Notamacropus eugenii: one gene and its partner. The protein of the gene in region 2 interacts with the protein of the main gene of each other region in a biochemical or structural test. Links are inferred from orthologs where the notes say so. Each region holds a gene or a part of one and is shown on either strand. Other genes may lie near its edges.

Evidence for each region. The genes of interacting proteins can lie anywhere in the genome.
Region 1: of the proteins of MTOR (region 2) and MAF1, one has a biochemical effect on the other in vitro, tested with the Homo sapiens proteins (2 studies listed by BioGRID and IntAct). The link is inferred for Notamacropus eugenii from reciprocal best matches to the Homo sapiens genes MTOR and MAF1.

What each region holds. Positions count from the first base shown.
Region 1 is NC_092875.1:86,027,579-86,034,837, forward strand, and holds the start of MAF1 (repressor of RNA polymerase III transcription MAF1 homolog), read left to right. Parts: upstream 1-4,256; 5' UTR 4,257-4,576; intron 4,577-5,801; 5' UTR 5,802-5,862; coding exon 5,863-5,945; intron 5,946-6,648; exon of another isoform or gene 6,649-6,689; intron 6,690-7,259. UniProt on the Homo sapiens protein: Plays a role in the repression of RNA polymerase III-mediated transcription in response to changing nutritional, environmental and cellular stress conditions to balance the production of highly abundant tRNAs, 5S rRNA, and other small non-coding RNAs with cell growth and maintenance.
Region 2 is NC_092876.1:50,533,724-50,541,428, forward strand, and holds the start of MTOR (serine/threonine-protein kinase mTOR), read right to left. Parts: upstream 3,054-7,705; 5' UTR 2,951-3,053; intron 1-2,950. Other genes in the region: UBIAD1 (ubiA prenyltransferase domain-containing protein 1), read left to right, coding at 5,778-6,312. UniProt on the Homo sapiens protein: Serine/threonine protein kinase which is a central regulator of cellular metabolism, growth and survival in response to hormones, growth factors, nutrients, energy and stress signals.

The DNA of each region.
Region 1 (7,259 bases), on a different chromosome or scaffold from region 2:
AAGGTGTTATTTTCTTCAGCATTTTTTGGGTCTCCTTTAGCAAGGTGTTGATCTGCTTTTCATGCTTTTCTTGCATCTCTCTCATTTCTCTTCCCAATTTTTCCTCCACCTCTCTTAATTGATTTTCAAAATTCTTTTTGAGTTCTTCCATGGCCTGAGCCCATTGAATATTTATTTTAGATGTTTGGGATACAGAAGCTTTGACTTTTATGTCTTTCCCTGATAGTAAGCACTGTTCTTCCTCATCTGAAAGGATGAGAGGAGATATCTGTTCACCAAAAAAGTAACCTTCTATAGTCTTATTTTTTCCCCTTTTTTAGGCATTTTCCCAACCAGTCACTTGACTTTTGGGTCCTTTGTCAAGGGTATACTCTGAGGATCTGTAAGATCTCAGTTCCTCCAAGGTGGCACAATCAAGCGGGCACACTGGTTTGGGAGTAGGGATAGATTTTTGTGCCCAGAAACTTAGCAGGGTTTCCTCTTCACAACCATCTGGCCTCCAGTTCTGCCAAGCCAGCACTGGGGGCTGAGATTCAGATAAGCTGCGGGGGCAGGGCTGCCATTCAGTGTGAGATAAAGATCAGCTGCCCCAGGGCCTCTACACAGGGCTGCAGTAAGAATCAGCTGCTCAGTGCCCCCAGGGGTTTTACCATCCAACGATGGATTTGGGCTACCGTAGGGGCTACTGTGGAAAGTGCAGTCACCTGCCTGGATGCGGCCTCTGAGGCTGCATCCTGAGGCCAGAGCTATGGAAAGGCCCTTCTCCCTTCTTGGACAGCTGAAAAAAGCCCATCACTAACCTTTGGCACCTGTGGGTTGAGGGATCTGCCAACCGCTGCTACTGCAAGTGGAGATTTTGCCCCTGAAGGTTGGGCTGGGCTCCACTCCACATCCTGTTCAACTGACATTTCCCTGGTCACCCTGGGCTGGAAATCTCCTCCATTCTGTTCTTCTGTGACTTCCGCTGCTCTAGAATTTGTTGAGAGTCTTTCTTTACAGGTATTTTATAGGCTGTGGGGGGAGAGCTAGCATATGTGTGTCTTTCTACTCTGCCATCTTGGCCCCGCCCCTCTCCAGTTTATCTTTCTCAGAATCATTATCATCTTCATTAGCAGTAATAACACTATACCCCAGGGAAAAATAATGATAAATCAAAAATAGATAACAGGAGTTAGCAGAGGTTAAGGGGTTTGAATTTTCTTTATTATGCAATAGGTAGTTGCTTGTAATTTCTGAATTCAGGACAGGACCATATATCTAAATATAAGGATGATCCTGCAGAATGCTCTCACCAGAATGGAACAGAACACACTCATTTTGCAGATGGAGAAACTGAGGCCAAGAAAGAGATGGTGACTTGCTCAAGGTCACAAAACCAACTAGTGGCAAGTTAGGGACTTAGATCTAGGTTTTTGGACTCTTGGGCTTCAGTGAGAAGAAAGACTACCTTAGAATCAGAATTGGAGTAAAGGAGGGGAGAATGCGGGAAGATGATAAGGGGTTTTGCAATGTAGAGAAGGAGAGGGAAAGAACTCACTGCAAATTTCTATTTTCTTAGTCAATCAGTCAATCAAGAAGAATTAGCACCTCTGGTGTGAGGGCTTGCTGAGCCCTTTTCAGGGCTGCTCATCCACCTTTGGTGTCCACCTGGCATTCAACTCTCACCTGTAGCTCCAAGAAGGTATAGAATGCACAATGACTACATCCTGGTAAAACCATCTGGCAGAGGGTGACCAACAGGCCTCAAACCCCTCAGTAAATTTGTACCCTAGGCATATGAAGACTTCTGTGGGGCAGAATAAGTGAATGATAACAATTTATTCCAATATCCGTGAAGGCAGCTGAAGTAATTGCTGTGGAATACTTGGAGCTTGGTTGGACGTCAAAGATGCCAAGGTCATCCACTTCCTCCTGGGCCATCCCAGTCTTCTTGGCTTTTGTCTTGCAACTGGATTTCTATGATTTTGGAAGAGAGAGTGAGGCTGATGACTTTGTGCAACTCTGCCTCACTTAAACCTGATTCACACAAAAGGGAGGACACAAAAAAAAGACAAACAACAACAAACATTTACTGAGCACTGGGGTTACAAAAAGAGGCAAAAGAAAGTCCCTGCCCTCAAGAGAGAACATACAAAAAAATGTATGTAAACCAATCTATATACAGGACAAATTTTAAAAAATTAACAGAGGGAAGGCATTAGAATTAAGAGGGGTGGGAAAGACTTCTAGTAGAAGTTGAGATTTTAGCTGAGCCTTAAAGGAAGTTGGTAGTCAGAGAGGAGAGAGAATGTTCCAGGCATAAGGGACAGCCAGAAAAAATGTTTGGCATCAACAGATGGAGTGTTTTGTTTGTAGAACAGACAGGAGGCCAGTTTCACTGGGCTGAACAGTATATTTCCGGGAGTACGAAGACTGGAAAGGTAGGCAAAGACGAGGTTATGAGGAATTTGAACACCAAATAGAGCACTTTGTGTTTGATTCTGGAGGCAACAGAGAGCCCTGGAGATTGTTAAATAGAAAGGGGAGACAAGGTCAGAACTGTGCTTTAGGAAATCACTTTAGTGGTGGAGTGGACGATAGATTGGGGTAGGCAGGCCTACCCACCAGCAGGCTATTGAAATAATCCAGGCTTGAAGTGATGGGGGCAGCTAAGTGGTGTTGTGGATAGAGGGTCAGTCCTGGAGTTAGGAAGATTCATCTTCATGAGTTCAAATCTGGGCTCAGACACTTAGTAGCCATGTGAGCCTGGGCAAGTCACTTAACCCTGCTTGCCTCAGTTTCTTCATCTGTAAAATGAACTGGAGAAGGAAATGGCAAACCACTCTAGTACCTTTCCCAAGAACACTCCAAATGTGGTCATGAAGAGTCAGACAAAACTGAACAGTGGAGGTGACAAGGGCTTGTACCACGGTGGTGGCTGTATCAGAGGAGACAGATGTTGCAAAGGTGAAATTGACAGAATATGGGGCTTGAGAGAAAGTGAGGAATCCAGGATGACTGCAAGGTTGTGAGCCTGAGGGACTGGGAGGATGGTGTTGCCCTCCACAGCAGTACTGAGGAAGGGGGAAGGAGGAGTGGAGTGGTTAGGAAGAAAGATAATGAGTTCCATTTTGAACATGCTGAGTTTAAGATGTCTACTGGACAGCCAGTTCAATACGTCTGAAAGGCCGGTGGAGAAGTGAGATTGGAGATCAGAAGAGAGACTGTCAGAAAAGGTAGATTTGAGAATAATCAGCACAGAGATGGTAATCAAATCCACCAAATCTTTAGTAAAGTCTGCGGCAAGGTTATTTGCAGACAGACGGAAGAGAGACGTGTGTGGGACACTTCAGAGGAAAGTTTTGGAACAGCTGCTGCGAGGAGCGTGATGGAGAATCCATTGGGGAAGAGCGCAAAGATGGATTAACTTGCAGCTGCAGAGGCTCGAGTGGAGATCAGCTAACAAATCTGCAGAGGACGTCAGTTTGGGTGACACAGTACAATCACAGGGCAATACGTTTAGAAGGAGAAGGCACCTTAGAGGCCATGTGGTCCAAGCCCGTCATTTTTACAGGCGAGGAACTTCCTCCAGCTCAGTTCAGCAGCGGAGAAATAGGAACGATCAATGATGGGGATGATTCAGGGTTGGGGTTTGGGGGCAGGAGATGAGAGGTCTGAATGACCTCCACATGGAGGTGGAGGTCACAGGGTGGCACTGGGAGGGATGAGGTTGCAGGACACGAGCTCCCAGCTCCAGGGGGCCGACTTCAAGAGAGCTTTCTGAAAGTCAGCGTACGAGAGAAGCTGGAGAGTCTAACATCAGCGGCAGCCAATGGGAGTTCTGTCCCCACCCCCTCCCCCGCGCGTATTCTTTGTCTCCGAGGTCCCAACCCGCAGGCGCGATCCACTTCACCCCTCCCCGTCCCCGCCTCTTTCCAGTCCCTCCCAATCCCCTGAGAGGAGTCTGTACTTAAAGCACACAGAGAAGGAGGGGGAGGGAGGCGGAACAGGGGACACAAGAATGGCAAGCGGCTTCACCAATGAGAAATAAGGCGGGGTCTGAAGACGCTAGAGGGGAACTACACCAATATGGGAGCTCCCCTACACACTAGACCAATCATTGGGGCGGGCGAATAGGCTGTAAAAAATGACGAGCGGAAATGGTAGCCAATAGCTATGAAGGACGTGATGAGCGGAGGACACCTAGACCAATGGGAACAGGTTGGTTAGCCCAGGGCGGGGAAGAAGAGCCCAATCATCAAGGCGGAATCCGTAGTGGGGGCGGGGCCGGGCCTAGCGGGCGCTTGTTGTTCTCGGGGTGAGGGAGGCGGAGGCGGCTTCCTCTGTGTGTCTGTCTCTACTTGTGTTGCCGTAGTCGGGCCCTGAAGGCAGCCGGAGCCAGGTCGGCGGTGGGGCCATGTCGCGGAGGTCGCCCGCGCAGGCGGGCGGGACCCAGAGGAGAAGGCTGTCGCTGCGAAGTTTTCCTCGGATACAGCGCGGCCCGCACGGAGGCCGCAGCGTCGTAGCCCCCAGGGACTGAGGAGCCTCTCGGACCCCTGGATTTCCTGGTGCCCCGCAGACGGACGCCCCCAGCCAGGTTGGTGTCGCCGACGCCTTGGTGTCTGTCTCTTAGACTACAGCTCCCAGCAGTCCCCGCACCCTCCCTTTTCGCCTTCCAGCGCCGCACTGCCTCCTGGGAGTTGTAGTTCCTGGGGGGCGGGGTTTGACCTGGGTTCTGGGAGGGGTGAGCTGGGAGCGGACTCTGGGGAGGCTCAGATTCCATTAGGTGCTAGTGTATGGAGCCGCCCCTTCCTTCTGTGGAGATCTCTAAGTGCTTTAAGCAACCTGGCATACCAATCCAGGTAAAGGAGACTCGGCCTTGTTCATTGGGGGTGGAGGGAGGGAGGGAATGGAGGCGTCTTGGATTGGTTGGTGACCGACTCCCTCGGGTTTGGCTTTGGATTTCCCTTCCTCTCTCCTCCCCGGGGGCCCTTCTGCTGAGCCTCCAGAGGTTCCTGGACAGCTTCCTACACTGCCCGCTCCCCCGTCCTCTCCAGGCTGAGCAGCCCCTGGGGCGATAGATAAGACCTATCCACACACACATTCACACACATACATATGTACGCTAACATTTATACACACACACACACATATACACACACAAATATACATGTATACTGACTTTTACATATATATGTATATGTATACATATATACATACATGTATTTTATATACACACACACACACACACATATATTTACACTAAGGGGAGGGAAGAGTGACTGTCAGAGGGGTTTGTAAGTGCTTGGAAATCATGGTGAAACCTCAGGTCATTGCTTGGGAGAGAAGGAGACACCCTAAACTGGACCTGAGCCCTACATCTCCTCTTTCCTCTTGGGTAAGGGGATCTCTTTCCCTCCCTGATACCAGAGCCCTCCAGCAGGGGAGGGACTGGAGTTCTGGTGTCTTAGGGTTTAGATGTGGGAAAGGAGGTATGTTTGCCTCAGGTTGGCACTTGGTCCCCCTGCCTGCTGTTCTCTCCACTAGCTCTGGGCCAGGGCCAGGTCTCTGCTTGTTTACAGTTTCTCCACTTACAAGGCAGGCAGCTTGTGTGTATGGGGAAGGGAAAGTGAAAGACTGGGGAGATACCCAGGCCTGGCTGGGATTGGAGATAAGACACACAAGATCCGTTTTTTTTCTGGGACCTGAGGCCTTGCCATGGTAGGAGGAGGTGGTTGTGAAATTTTAACAATGACCTTCCCTACCCCTCTCTCAAACTAAACAACTCAGAGCCACAGTGACATTCCCCGTGTTCCCAACAGGCACTTCTTTGCTGCCCTAAACCAAGGCTCTTGACTTCCCTGTCCCTGGCCCCTGCAGAAGATGAAGCTCTTAGAAAACTCCAGTTTTGAAGCGATCAACTCCCAGCTAACAGTGGAGACTGGTGATGCTCACATCATTGGCAGGTGAGGCCCTCAGCCCCTCAAGGTCTCTCTGCCCTAAGGAGAGGCACTTAATTTGAGAAGGGCCCTGAGGTTTCTTCCCCTGTGAAGGTAAGGGGAAGGCAGTGTGGTTAGTGACTCCACCCTCCCATTTCCTTCCTCTCTTTTACCCCCCTTCCCCACCATTTCACTCACTGCAGCCTTTACATCTTGTTTCTAAGGCCAGGTGTTCTTGACTTCCCAAAATATGTGGAAGGATTGGAGGTTCTGTAAGAATTGACCCTAGAATGCAGTTAGGCTGGACACATAGTGGAGGGGAGTGGTGTCAAAGCAAATAGAAGCAGGGGCTATTAATCTGTTTGTAAGGCTCTGTAGGAGCCACTTGTTGACTTAGTTTTAAAATGTAATATTGTCTCTCCTTTAGTTTATTTTTATTTTGTTAAATATTTCCCAGTTACACTTTAATCTGGTTTGGATTGCATTTGGAAGTGTTTCAGGCTGCTGCCATGTGTTTGACACCTCTGGTGTAGTAGAGTGTCAGTCCTAGAATCAGGAGGGTTCAAATCTAGTTTTTGATAATGGGTAATACTACTCTAGGTCTCAGTGTCCTCCTCCATAAAATGAGGGCATTGTATTAGGTGGCCTTTAACATCTCTTCCAGCTCGATCTATGATCCTATGATCCCTCATAACCCTAATCCTTGTCCTCTTCTTCCTCTCTGTTTTAGGTACTGCCTCCCAACAAATATATCTGCCATCCATCCCCTGTGTATGTGTCCATCCAGTTTCCTATCTTTTACTTGTATCTAACCCCCATGTTTGTATCCAGGCTTATAACCTTTTCTCCATTACTGTTTGTCCCCATTTTCTGTTCCCTGGAGTGTGTTCAGGTCCATTTCAGATTCCTCACCTGCATCAACTCACAGAATGTTAAGTATTAGAAAGGTACCTTGGAGACCATTAAGTTCCCCTCCTCACCCTCTCTTTTCTTCCTCTCTCCTTCCTTCCCCTCCTCTCCCCTCCTTTCCCCTTTCCTTCCTTTCTCTCCCTTCACCTCCCCACATTTTATAACTGGAACAGCTGAGACCCACAAAGCAGAAATTCAATTCATCGCATATTTATTAAGACCTTGCTTTTCTGCAGAACTCTATGCTAGGTCTGGGGGAAGACGTAAAGTAGGTAATTTAATTACCCAACATTTGTCAAGCCCTACTGTGTGCTCTGCTATAGCTTGGAATTCAAAGACAAGATCAAAATATCCTTTCCATCAGGGTCTCTATTCTACAGGGAGAATACAACATGTGCCTAAACTAGTAAATATAAGGTAATTTTGAATAGG
Region 2 (7,705 bases):
AGAAGGGATCAGTGGGGAGGCAGGTGAGCTTGCTCAGGACCTTGGGAAGTAGCTAGAGTAGACAGAGGTGGAACTTGAAAAGGGTGTCTGTGAAGGGTGAAGACAGAATTCTATCTGTAAAGCTATATAAATATTACCAAAGCAGACTCTGAGCTGAAAGGGCCTCAGAGGTCATCCAGCCTTTACTTAAGCTAGGCCTGTGCCCATGGACTGCAGGCTGTGCAGCAGGCCTGACTTAAGTTGCTGTCTTGGGAGTAGGTTCCCTCTCATTAGAGGCTATTAATTCAATTTAAACAAGACACTTGTTAAGTACCCACCCGACCTAAGGCACTGTGCTGTTCATTTGGGAGATGAAGGCAAAAATGAAACAATTCCTGCTTTTGAGGCGTTTACATTCTGGTGGGGGTAAATATGTACCAGGTATTTGGGGAGGAAAGGGACACTAAGCTAAGGAGTCCTAGAGCAGGTATGGAGGAGGTGGATTCTAAATACTAGTACAGCATGTGAAAGGAAACAGAATGAGTCTAGAGACAAGGTAGGAAGCCAGTCTGGCTGCATATGAGTAACATGAAATAAAGTCTGAAAAGGCAGGGAGGAGCTAGGCCATGAAGAATTGGGGGAGGGGGAGGGAGGGAGAATTAACATAACTAGTCTTCAAGTCCAAGCTAGGTGACCGTTTGTCTCAAAATGCTTCTTGGATCGCATATGCTATGGAGGGGATTCCTGGTCAAGCATGGGTGTTGGACTTGATAATACCTTCCAATCTGAATTCTGAGAAACACAAATTCCATGTACAACATCCTTGACATTTAGTTACCTAGTCTCTGCTTACATACTCCCAGGTGACAGAGAACTCACTACTTTACAGTGTGTGGTGAAGAACACAACTTGAAATGAGAAGAATCCAAATTTCAGGTCTTTGATTGTTAAAACAGCTGGGTGGCTTTAAGTGGTCACTTACCTCCTAGAACATTACTTTTTCTTATCTGTGAAATGGGGATAATCCTTATTTGTACTACCTATCTCACAGTGATATATCCTGAGGAAGTACCCAATTCCTGGTCAGCCGGCTTTCTGATCAGTTCTTACCATGACTGAGCCTATAACTCACCTGCTAATAATTGACACACTGCCCCAGCCTCTCCACTCTGAAGTCACACAAAACATGTTTAATCTTTCTGCTCTGTGACAAACAGTAAGTCTGTTTTTCTCTAGGCAAAATATCCTCAGCTCTCCAGTATAAGTGATCAATTGATGTGGTTCCTTGAGAAGGTGGAACCTACTTTAGATCTGTTTTTTGAGCATTCTATAGTAGATGGGTAATCTAGAAACATTTCTACAAAGTGTTACTGAAGTATAACCTATGATGTTTATAGACTCTCAGGGCCTGAGCTGAGACTTCAGCTCCTGAAAATAAGACATCCAGCCTCCCCTGAAATCCTCCAGGGATAGAAGTCCTTCTTAGGACCTGGGCTCAGGAGCAAGTTTTCCCATACATTTAGTGGAGAGTCATCCTCTGTACCTTCCACCCACTTCTGGTTTTGCCTTAGGGGCGAAGCCCAAGACCACAGCCCTTCAAATATTTGAAGTCTCCTCCAGCTGAACCTTCCTCAGGAAAGGGGTCTGGGCCTTACTGGCAGTAGAAGGAACCTCTTGAGCTTATCCAGTTCAAATTTGTCATTGGACAGTCAGGAAAGGCTGGGGCTGGATAAGAATACCTAGGGTGGTCTACAGAAATGGGGGGCTGCGGGTACAAGATATGTGTTGCGGGTACAAGTTATGTGTGACAGGTCTAGAAAGGTCTCTAGAAATCTTCTAGGAGCAGGTGATTGACTTGAGTCTCTTCATTAATCACCTGGCTGCATTATCCTGGAACTTCTCCCAAATCAAATGACCTCTCCACCTTGCCTGGGGCACCTCTAGGACTGAGTATGGGGCCAAGATCTTCATTTAAGGAGGGGGCTCCTGATGGCTCACTTGGCTGCACTTCTCAGGGCTTCTCCACCATGTCCCCCCACCGGGCATCCCTCCACCCATTTTCAGCTTCCCTTTGCGTGTGGTCTTCCCTCATAAGATTATAAACTCCTGGAGGCAGGGACCCTCTTTCTTGTTCTATTTGTATACTCAGGGCCTGGCATAGCACTTGGCACACAGTAGGTACTTAATAAATGTTTATGTAACTACTGACTATTAAGGTAGCCTTTGAGGAGTCTAAGAAGGTGGAGGAAAAGTTGTGAGTGATGACATCCGGGGGCATTTCAAGCGCTTCTGAATCAGGCAGCATAGAAGTGAAGTGGGTTTAGAGGGGGTGCAGGATGACACTGGTGGTGTTGGGGGGATTTCTGGGGGTCTTGTGCTGACTTTCAGGGAGCTTCTGGGGTGTCTTGCTGACGGCATGTGGGGTTGAGGCGGGTCTCTGCAGGAATGAGACGGGATGGCTGCTGAGCTCAGGGCAAGCGGGGAGCCTTTGGGGGGAACTCTGGGGAGGAGTCTGGGGGCACCTCCAGGAAGCTCAGATGAATTGGAGAAGCTTCCCACCCGGGCACTCTGGAGAGGTAGGGGAGCTTCTGGTGGCGTAACAGGGGGCTCTGCTTCTGGGGGCGTGAGGGTGGTGGTGGGCACTCTGGGGGGCCCCTAAGGACCCAGGGGCGCTGTGGCTGGCATGTGACCGTCGGGGGGCACCCCGCCGAGGCAGGGGGCTTCTGGGGAGGCTCTGGCTAGGCCGGGGGCACAGAGTGGGATGGGGTTTCCAGGAGGCCCCGGGGCCGGGAAGGCGCCGCAGGCGGAGGCTGGAGGCCGGGCCGAGCCGGGGTCTGGGGGCGGCTCCGAGCCCCGGGGACGTCTGCAGGGCCCAGGGCGCCCGGGGGAGCCGCGGCCTCCCTCCAACGCGGGGGGCCGGGTTCCAGCCCCTGCCCGGCCCAGGGAAGCGAGCGGCGGGCTCCAGACTCACCGTGACTTGCGTTACTTGCGGCCTTCCCTTCAGCCGGTGCAGCTGCCCAAGGCGCCGCCGACGCCGCTCCGGAACCCCCCACCCCCAGCACCGCCCGCCTTCCCTCCCGGCTGCCCTCCGAGCCGGGTGGGGAAGGGCGGGGCACCGAGCCGCTAGGACCAACCGGCACATCGGAGCAGGAGATGGGCGGGCAGACCGACCAATGGCAGAGGGGAAGGAGGGATGCTCTGGAACTCGGCCCCCCAAGGAGGCGGGGGCCGTTCAAATGGACAAGCCGCACATCCAGTCACAGGCGAGCACCGGGCCGAGAAACACCGGCACAGGCCAATCAGCAGCAAGTTTGCCGTCTTTGCCACTTCCGACCCGGCTTCCAGTGCGTGCTCCGTTGAAATGAGCCCCCTCGATCGCCGGGCAGTTCTCGCTCGTATCGGCTCAGCCGAGAGAGCTGGAGAGTTGGGTCAGAGCCCCGCCCTCCACTCGTGATAGTGCCCAGCATGGACCTTTGCATGGATCCGCACGTGAACTTGAGCCGAAGCTACACATTCTCGACCCGTCCCCTCCCCAGGCGTCCTTCGTGTCGCATTCAGGAGTTTTACCTGGGAAATGATCCCCGGGGCCCCAGGCCTTTTCCTTCCTACCAAACCCCAGCAGAGATCCTCGAGGTCCCCGAGGTCACGCACTCCAGCGCGAGGGCTCAAGTGTGCTGGTTTCCAGGACAAACCCTGCCCCGAGTCTGGCTGCTTGCCCTACGCACTCCCCATTCATGCTCCCTCTTGGCTCTCTGCCTAGAGTGGCAGCGTGGAGTAGTGGAAACTGTGTGGGGGTATGGGTGTGTGTGTGAGCTGGACTTGGGTTTGAATCTGGATTGTGACACTTGGCACTTGTAGGACTCGGGGAACACATTACTTAGCCTCTTAGCCTCTGCATCTGCGGAATGGGTATAAAAAGACTTGCACCAGGGTTGTGAAATCAGTATATAAATGAGTTATTACACTGTTTCCAAGTAGTACTGATTTTTCAAAAGGCACAGCTCTGTTCTCCCATCCTCCCTGATCAAGCCCAATTAAAGTTGATGATCTTACCCTTACTTTGGATCCCCGTCCTTACACAATCTGCGTATCACACGGTCTTCCTTTGGCTTCTGTGAACTTATTAATGTGGATATTTCCCATAACAGTGCAGATCATAGCCCACCAATGCAATCATGCCCCCTCATCGAGACTCTTGCCTCTCTCCTACTCCCAAGGTCATCTGGGATCAACCACTTTCTGGATACAATGAAGCTTGTTTTCTTGTTGATTTCTCTGCCCCAGCTCCTCTTCCATTTGTAATAGACAAATTTAGCATAGTGCCTGGCACAGAGTAATTAAGAGATTTTTTGATCACATTGTTTCACAGAATATGAAGGTGGGAGGAGTTTCGAGATATTCCATCAAGCCTCTTATTTTGAATGAAAGCATACATAAAAAATAAAGGGGGAAAAAGGAACCAAGAACCAGTGACGAATGGAATCTATTCATGTGAAGCAGGATAAGAATTGTATCTCATCTTTGGTCACCCAGAAAGGCTGTGACTCAGCTGCAGACAGGACCACAGGGTCTCTACTCTTTCTTTTGACAGCCCATCTTTTTTTCTGGGGGTTCAGGGAGGCAATGGAAAGAGGAATGGATTTGGAGTTAAAGGTCAGTTAAAGACCTGAAATTCAACTTTCATCCCTGTGATCCTGGGCAAGTGATTTCCCCTCTCAAAGAGACTGTCTTCATTTAAAAACAACAGCAACGTTTCTTTAGCACCTGTGCTGGGCCCTGGAGGTACAAATATTAAAAACTGACAAGAATGAATGAAGCATCGGTAAACACTGTGACACGTGCAGTGGTTACCAAGGTCACACAGGTTAAACTGTATCGCGGCCTTTCCTTTTTGTATTCCCAGTGCTTCGCATACAGTAGCTTAACACAAGTTCCTTCACTGGAACTGAATGAACGGTCCTAGGGAGCAGGGATGGAGAGCTCCCCCAGCGTAGAGGGACAAGGCGAGCTCTTCTTTCCCCGGCCCTAAGTGCTCAGGGGGCCCGTTTCCGCACGGCCGACAAAGGCCAGAGCACAACATGGCGGCCCCCTAGGACTGGCTGAAAGATCCGGGCCGGCGCCAGCACTGCCACTGACTCAGAGCCTGAGTGACAGGAAGACCGGACATCCGTGGGGCAGAGGAGGTCAGGCCTCCAGCGGGACGGCTGCCCGCCTCCCGTATCCTCCTTTCCCGGGCGCTCCCTTCTTCCGCTTGGCGACGTTCCAGCCTTCTCTACCTAGCGGGGAGCCCCTCCAAAAGCCCCCGCCTCGCTTCGTGGGAGCAGTGGGTTTCGCGTTCCCTTCTCTAGGTCCGCTCCCCTCCCTGCCCCCGGCTCTGCTAGGCAGCGGGACCCGCCCCTCTGTACCCCTCTCCCTGCTGGCCCCGCCCCCTCGGTACCCCTCTCCCCGCTGGCCCCGCCCCTCGGTAACCTCTCCCCGCTGGCCCCTCCCCCTCTGTACGCCTCTCCCCGCCGGCCCCTCCCCCTCTGTACCCCTTTCCCCGCTGGCCCCGCCCCTCTGTACCCCTCTCCCTGCTGGCCCCGCCCCCTCTGTATCCCTCTCCCCGTTGGCCCCGCCCCCTCCATACCCTCTCCCCTCTGGCCCCGCCCCCTCTATATCCCTCTCCCCGCTGGCCCCGCCCCCGTTGCCCCTGTAGCTCTCCTCCAGCCGCTAGGTTAGCCCCGCCCACTCCTCGTGCTCTTCCCGGCCCCTCCACGTGCTCCATTAGCCCCGCCCCGCAGCCCACCCTCGCCTTCTCCATGGCTGCGGCCCAGAGCCCGGGCGAGATCAACATCCAGGCGGGCGAGGGTCCCCCGGCAGGTGCCGGGGAGAAGGCCGGGAATGGCTGCCCGTGCGGGGCCGCGCCGGGGCCGGGGCCGCGGCGGTCGTGGCGCCACAAGTGCGCCTCGTACGTGCTGGCGCTGCGGCCCTGGAGCTTCAGCGCCTCGCTGACCCCCGTGGCGCTGGGCAGCGCGCTGGCCTACCGCTCCCAGGGCGCGCTGCAGCCGGGCCTGCTGCTGGGCAGCGCCGTGGCCGTGCTGGCCGTGCACGGGGCCGGCAACCTGGTCAACACCTACTACGACTTCTCCAAGGGCATCGATCACAAGAAGAGCGACGACCGCACGCTGGTGGACCGCATCCTGGAGCCGCAGGACGTGGTGCGCTTCGGCGTCTTCCTCTACACGCTGGGCTGCGTGTGCGCCGCCTGCCTCTACTGCCTGTCGGCGCTCAAGCTCGAGCACCTGGCGCTCATCTTCTTTGGGGGCCTGTCCAGCTCCTTCCTCTACACCGGAGGTGAGACCCTGGCCGGCCTGGTGTTCCCCAGGGGGTCTGAGAGGCCAGGTCTGGCTGTGCTCCCCAGGGTGCTCTGGAGCAGGCCTGGCTGTGCTCCCCAGGGGGTCTGGGCCTGGCTGTGCTCCCCAGGGTGCTCTGGAGCAGGCCTGGCTGTGCTCCCCAGGAGGTTCGGGGTTGCCTTGGCCCTACTCAGCTCCCTAGAAATCACCGGGAATCTAGCTTACCCGTGCTCCCTAGAGAGGGCTTGATATCTCAGACCAGTCACTGCCCATCCCCAGGCTGGCCTTGGCACCCATTCCTATGTGCTGGGGACCTTGGGTCAGTCATTTCTTTAACACAGTCCAGAGGTTTCCTTTGTGTAAAGTGAGGAGCTTGGATCAGAGTATGCCTAAGCCTCCTGACAGCAGTTAGTGATTTGGAGGGGTAGCTGCCACCTTCCACACCACTGGGACCATTTTCTTTTCTCTTATGTGGACATCCCTTAAAGGGACTCCTCCTGCTCACTAGGGTTCTTAATGTTGTTTCCTAACCTCCAGGTCAGTTTAGAAAGTCATCCAACCACCATTCTAGGAGTCTGACTCTGGCCCCAGAAGCTGTTCTCCCTTTGGTCATCATTTCTAGGGATTGTTGTTTTAATGAGGGGAACTGGCTTTGATTTTCAGTTCAGTTCAGCAGTTATGTATGTGCCTATTATGGGCCATGCTCTGGCGATGGAGAGACAAAAGTGAAACGCTCCCCATCTGAGGCTTCTTCAAATGCCCAGAAGCAAGCAGGTGACAATGGAGTTTGAGGAATAGCCAGAGGGTCACTTAGGTTGGAATGGAAGGATATGTGTTGTGGGGTGGTGGGACAGCCAGCTTAAGTTATGTGAAATCACTCTGGAAAGTCTGCTTGTTCATAGGGGACCTTAAATCCTAAGCAGTTTACTAAGGCCTTAGGGGAGCTGGCCTTTCTGTGCCTTAGGAAGATGATTTTGGCAGCTCTAGAGAACAGATTAGATAGAAGCAGAGGGGTCCATTAGGAGAATGTTGTGATTGTCCAGGATGAGGCCCTGAAGTAGGGAGTGACCTTTTGAGTGGGGGAGGGGGCTTCCAGAGATGTTTGGGTGGGGTGGAGAAGGAAGGAACTGGAGATTCTCCATTTGAAGATGGTCAAGATGGCACACCAACTGGTCTCCACACCAGTCTGCAGTGCAGGAACTGGGGCTGTTTTAGCTTCCAGGAGACAAGGCTTAGGAAAGGGTTAGGATGACCATCTTCAAGTCTTCTGGAGAGAGCTTGGATTTAACTTTGGTCTGTCCTTCAGAAGAACTTCTGGCAGTAGGCAGAATAACTTGAAGGGTGGATGAGCTGCCTTGGGGAGGAGTGAGATGTCTGTAGGCAGATGCTGAGCT